2 separate regions of the Mus musculus genome follow, and region 1 is reported to be linked to region 2. The links are microRNA targets in miRTarBase. Many come from high-throughput screens and were not tested one by one. Region 2 holds a microRNA gene; the other region holds the end of a gene's coding sequence.
The links. The annotated mature microRNA mmu-miR-875-3p reads CCUGAAAAUACUGAGGCUAUG and lies in region 2 at 792-812, shown strand. An mRNA with a match to its seed (bases 2 to 7 or 8) in the 3' UTR can be bound and repressed. Matches are read on the target gene's strand: a 7mer-m8 pairs with bases 2 to 8, a 7mer-A1 pairs with bases 2 to 7 and ends in A, and an 8mer does both.

Region 1 (3,000 bases), not on the chromosome of region 2:
ATGGGAGATAGTCAAATGGTCCAGTGGTTAAAAGTATTGGTTACTCCGCCATAGCATCCAGATTTTAGTCCCGGTATCCACGTGGTGGCTCACAATTGTCCCTAACTCCTGCTCCATGGGATCTGATGCCCTTTCCTGACCTTAATGGGTACCAGGCATGAACATGGTGCAAAGATGTACATGCAGGCAAAATACCCTCACACATTTAAAAACATGTTATATGTGCGTGTGAGAGTCCATGCAAAAGCACGAATGAAAGGCAAAGGAGTATTCGATCTCTTGGAGCAGGAATTACAGGCATTCGTGAGTCACCTGCTGGGATTTGAACTCTAGTCCTCATGACTGAACAAGTGCCCTTCACCACTCATCTCTCCAGCTCCTCTCTCTCTCTCTCTCTCTCTCTCTCTCTCTCTCTCTCTCTCTCTCTCACACACACACACACACACACACACACACACACACATACCACACACACACATACAATCTTTGATGTAGTGTGGCCCAGGCTGGCTTGAAATTCACTAAATAGCTGATGACCTTGGATTTATCTTCCTTCCTTTGCTTCCCGAAGTGCTGAGATTACAAGCGTGTGCCTTCATGCCAGATTAATTCCCACTGGATGGGGACTGAACTCAGGGCTACCAACTAAGCTACATCTCCAGCCCTTCAACACTTTTCAAACAATGTTTGATATACTAGATGCCTTTATAAAACCATCATGGCACACTAGGGACTGTGACAGGCCCAGGAGCAACCTGACTTCCCTAGGGATTATGTGTATCAAGGATACATCTGGGTTTGGACATTCAATAGACCTGACTAGACAGCTAGTTCTAGCTAGGTTTGGTCTGTGGTTTGAGGCAAGTTGCTTACCTTCTCTGAGTCTCCCATTTCCTTATATGTAATATGACATCAGTTCTCGCTCCAGCTGCCCTTGCCAAAGATTTCTTCAAAAGACCTGCCCCCCAAACAGGCAGAGAGGGAAAAAATGGGCCATAAGAGGGATGGAGGGAGAAACCAAAAACATACACTAAGTGGGACATAGAGACATGCCTGTAACCTCGGCATCCAGGAAGTGGGGGCGGGGAAATGGGAGTTTAAGAGCAGGCTAGATTACAGTGAGATGCTGCCTCAAAAACCCGGGATGAATGCTGGGTGTGGTGGCACGCACCATTAATCTCAGCACTTGTAAACAGGCAGATGAATCTCCAAGTTCCAGGTCTCCAGAGTGAATTCCACAACAGCCAGGGCTACACAGAGAAACCCTGACTCAAAAAACAAAACAAACCCTAAGAAAACCTAACGTATAGTAAGGATTTGGGATGTGACAGATCTCTCTTCAATGCTATCAATGGAACCTAGGGCCTGGGGCTTCTAGGCCTGTGCTCAACCACGCCAACTCTAGCTGATGTTTTAAGATTTTTTTTTAAATTTAATTACTTATTATTTGGGAAAGAGGTTAAGACAGGGTTTCTCTATGTAGTCCTAGTTGTCCTGGATCTCACTCTGTAGTCCAGGCTGGCCTCAAACTCACAGAGATGTCTATCTCCCAAGTGCTGGGATTAATGACGTCTGACAGGAAGTGTGTGGGTTTTTTTTTTTTTTCTTTTAAGATAGTTGAAGAACTGTGGGAACTCTTAGAACTGGGGTGGTGGTGGAACCATAGGGGACCAGAATGGGGTATAACCCAAGATGATCTTTCAAGAGCCCCCAAATCAACCTCAGCCAATGGCCAAGTGCCCACGGGGAAGACAGAAGCAAAGACACAATGTCTGTATAAAATGTTTATTTTCGGAGGACAGTGTGGTCTGGTGTTTGGGTGGGTGCTCCACTCAGCCAGCCAACCAAGAAGCTGAGAACAGATGCAGCAGCAGGCTGACTGACAGGCCTGCTCCACCTTGCACATCCCAGAGCACACCAGGCCCTGCCTGTTCTCAACTCTAGAGCGAGAGTCAGAGAACTGGGATTATTCCTGCCCCAGCAGACAGACCCCCAAAGAGCCCATGTGACGTCTGTAGCACCAGCCACTCTGCCCCTCCTTACAGGGCTACTTCTATACATGTGAAGACACACATGTGTGAACACACACACACACACACACTAGTCTGAAAAGCACTGTTTAGTTTAGCTGCATCTGTCAGGTTCCAAAAGGAATTTTCACATTTGCTTACTTCCAGATCTTCCTCTGTCCCCAACTTCTACCTGCACCCCAGCTCTGCCTTACTCCTTTCTCAGGGACTCCTCCCTCCCTGGCCACTTGGGGGAGGGGCAGCTGGCCTCAGCTCTCCCCTAAAACAGGCAAGAAAACAACAACAAAACCCTATGAAGCTTTAGCGCAAGGGCTCCCATCTTCCCCCCCAAAAATGTAACTATTAAAATAAAAAAAAACAAGAAAGTAAACAAACAAACCAAGAAGCATAAATAAACAACAACTGGGCCAGCAAGGAGGAAGGTAAGGTGGCCTTCGGCGGTGGCCTCCTGTGCCCAAACCAGGCTCTCCCCGTGGAACTCAGCCATCAGTAGCCAAGATGACGGCAGCCCCAAAGATGCCCACACTCTCGCCGAGTAGCTTCATCTGGTTCCAGAACTCGACGCGTCGTGTGTTGTGCCAATAGGAGACGTTGCCGTCGATAAGCAGCATGACAGGAGGTAACAACACGGCCAGGATCTGGGCGGCCAGCGTCACATAGTAACCCGACAAGAAGGCCAGGGCCAGGACCCCATAAAGCACGAAGAACAGCTGGACCATCAGCTCCCCTCCTGGAAGATGGTTCAGGTACGCCAGCCGGTCCTCCTTGCTGTGCTGCAGCGAGTAGGCCTAGAGACACACAGCATCCTTTTAAGACTGTAGCAGATAGGGCTGGAGAGATGGCTCAGTGGTTAAGAACACTGACTGCTCTTCCAGAGGTCCTGAGTTCAAGTCCCAGCAACCACATGGTGGCTCACAACCATCTTTAATGAAATCTGATGCCCTGCTCTGGTGTGTGAAGATGAAGACAG
Region 2 (3,000 bases):
TCCCTTGTTCAGAAAAGCTCCTGGATGCTGCAGTTCTTAGCAGGATGGAGAGCACCTTCTGCTCTGCCGAGGACCACTGTACTACGCCTCCCGTGTCCACACAGCCCTGCAGCCACACTGAGAAGGTACTGGAATTGTATGATGCCATTTACTCTGCAAAGACTTAAAAAAAAAAAAAAATAGAAGGAATCGCCAAAGTTGTGTTTCCATATTGTATATAGCAGGTAAATTCATCCAAAATTGAAAAGATTTAACAATGTTACTTTGGATTAATAGAATCAGCTTTTGACCTGAGCCTGAATTATATACTTTTAGTGCAAGAATAAATTTCAGAAAATATCTTTCTCACATGACAATTCTTGAACCTGGACAGTATACAAATGATTCTGGTGTACTGTTAGGCTTTTTTGTTTGTTTTTAAAAAATACTACACTTCTGAGGATGTATTTTCAAATAAAATAATTGAAATTAAACAAATATGAATCCAGATAAAAGCAAAAATTCAGACTATCTAATGTTATGCAAAATAGGAAAGTATATATAAAATCAATTCTATTCCATTTTTCTTATTTTAAAATTCAAGTATGTTTATAATGTAACTTGACAATGTTTACCAGAATGAAAGCAAATTAAAGAATTATCTCTTTCATTAATGTCTCTTCTGCCACTAAGATGAACAAGGGGTGCTTCCATCCTATAACCCTGTGCATTTGTTTATTTTTCCTAGGTTTGGGGAAATTCCCAGTTCTGTGGTACTATACCTCAGTTTTATCAGGTGTTCATTAAAATCACCTGAAAATACTGAGGCTATGTTTCACTGAGCATAAGCTTCATGGATTCCTTGAGTGACTGCAGCTGTACTCACCACAAAGATGTGCTGTCCACAGTGTATTTGATAAGATGACATAGGAGAGGAACTTCTTTCACCTTTGTGTCAGTTTATCAAACCCATACCTGGATGACAAGCAATTCAATGGAAGGAAAACCAGTCCCAGAATTCAAAGCATTATTTCCTGTAGAAGAGCTCTGTGCTCTCTAAATGCCAAAGGCATAAATATACGACAGTTTCACTAAATGACTAAAGCCTTAAATAATATGGATAGAAACGGTTGCACTGCTAAAGTTATAACCACAGTTATTAAGGTTTACTGGTATGCTAGGGGATTTGGGTGAAAATAGCACTAAGGATAAATATGTATTACCTGATAATAAAATATGAGGAATTTATGTTAAAATTATGCTTTGACTTTGCTCAAAATTATTGACTTTTATATTTTTCGATTATTGTATTGCTTTGGTTCAGAATCCTCGACAAGAAAATTTATAGGTGGCAAACACAGGTTAAGGAAAGAGCATTCACAAATTAAAAACTGAAATTAGCATTTAGTTTTCTTGAAAGTTACCAATAGTCATAAAGGGTAGAACAGTGTTAATCTTTGACATATAGGCTACTATGGGCAGAAGTGAAGGCTGCAGGGGTCTGGGGGAAGTGTTAATGTGGCTATGTTTAAGCAATTAGTATTTCTCCTGTGGGAACTATCACTTCAAGAATGAAACAAGGACAAATAAGAAGAAAACATTCTATGGCCATTTTTACCTACCTTGATAATCAGGGCTGTGTTCCTTAGTACTTTTGCCAACATGAACTACTTTTCTGGTATCTTAACCTTATCAAAGTTCAGGGTTAGAAATTACAGAACAAAAACATCAGATTAAGGAATGGTTTCAATGAAGGGGATAAACAGCTTCTAAACAAAGGATAAGCCTTTCTAAGTGCATAAAAAAACTATTTAACCTACGACACTAATGACAGTGCACACTGTAATAAAGAAAGAGAAGCATGCGTGGGAAGGAAGTTGTCCTTCACACTGACCCTGCAGAGGAGAACTGTTCATTGCTGGGGCAGGGGAATGACACTTTCTAAGTCTGCATGCCACCTCACTGCTGCTCACCAGATGTTCATACGTGATATATACAGGTAATTTACTATGCATATGTAGTGAATATGTGTATGGTCCTTGCTTCTTAATTTGACACCTAATTAGCTTCTCTGTGGTAAAGATGTTAGGCTGTGGCTGTAAGTGGACACTAGTCAATACAGGCTAAAACAGTAAATAAGTGGCCTTTACAGCATCTCACATTTACAAGTTCACTAAAAAGATATTTTAAAAACAGGGAATGTATGATGTATCATGTACCCATCCTTTCATCAATGAACACATATAGGAAACAAACATACAGAATACTATTTAATTATAACATTCAATTATTTTATAATAGGCATTTAAGAAAACATAACACTATTTTACCATTTTTGTGTCTTGCATGTCAGTAGCCATGGTACACAAGCATTATATGCCAAGTATTATGGAGATTTAAAGGTTTAAAATTATTTTAAGGTCTATTTAACCTGTTTTCTTTTTTTTAAATTAGGTATTCATTTCATTTACATTTCCAATGCTATCCCAAAAGTCCCCCACACCCTCCCCCACTCACTCCCCCACCCATCCACTCCCACTTCTTGGCCCTGGCATTCCCCTGTACTGAGGCATATAAAGTTTGCACGACCAATGGGCCTCTCTTTCCACTGATGGCCAACTAGGCCATCTTCTGATACATATGCAGCTAGAGACACGAGCTCTAGGGGGTACTGGTTAGTTCATATTGTTGTTCCACCTATAGGGTTGCAGATCCCTTCAGCTCCTTGGGTACTTTCTCTAGCTCCTCCACTGGGGGCCTTGTGATCCATCCAATAGGTGACTGTGAGCATCCACTTCTGTGTTGCTAGGCCCTGGCATAGTCTCACAAGAGACAGCTATATCTGGGTCCTTTCAGCAAAATCTTATTAGTGTATGCAATGGTGTCAGCATTTGGAAGCTGATTATGGGATGTATCCCCGGATATGGCAGTCTCTAGATGGTCCATCCTTTCGTCTCAGCTCCAAACTTTGTCTCTGTAACTCCTTCCATGGGTGTTTTGTTCCCAATTCTAAGAAGGGGC

Region 1: the mRNA of Tmem101 is a reported target of mmu-miR-875-3p. Seed matches in the 3' UTR shown: 8mer at 2,105-2,112.

Annotation. Positions count from the first base shown.
Region 1 is chr11:102,150,777-102,153,776 of GRCm38, forward strand. Tmem101 (transmembrane protein 101) reads right to left here. Exons shown (of 4, transcript NM_029649.2): 4 at 1,771-2,818. The coding sequence ends at 2,510. Among named protein-coding and RNA genes, the nearest start is that of Tmem101, 4.1 kb to the right of the region's middle.
Region 2 is chr15:35,658,794-35,661,793 of GRCm38, reverse strand. Mir875 (microRNA 875) reads left to right here and starts at 747; the gene lies at 747-824. All of the region lies in intron 30 of Vps13b (vacuolar protein sorting 13B), which reads right to left. It overlaps Mir599 (microRNA 599), which reads left to right and starts at 876; the gene lies at 876-963.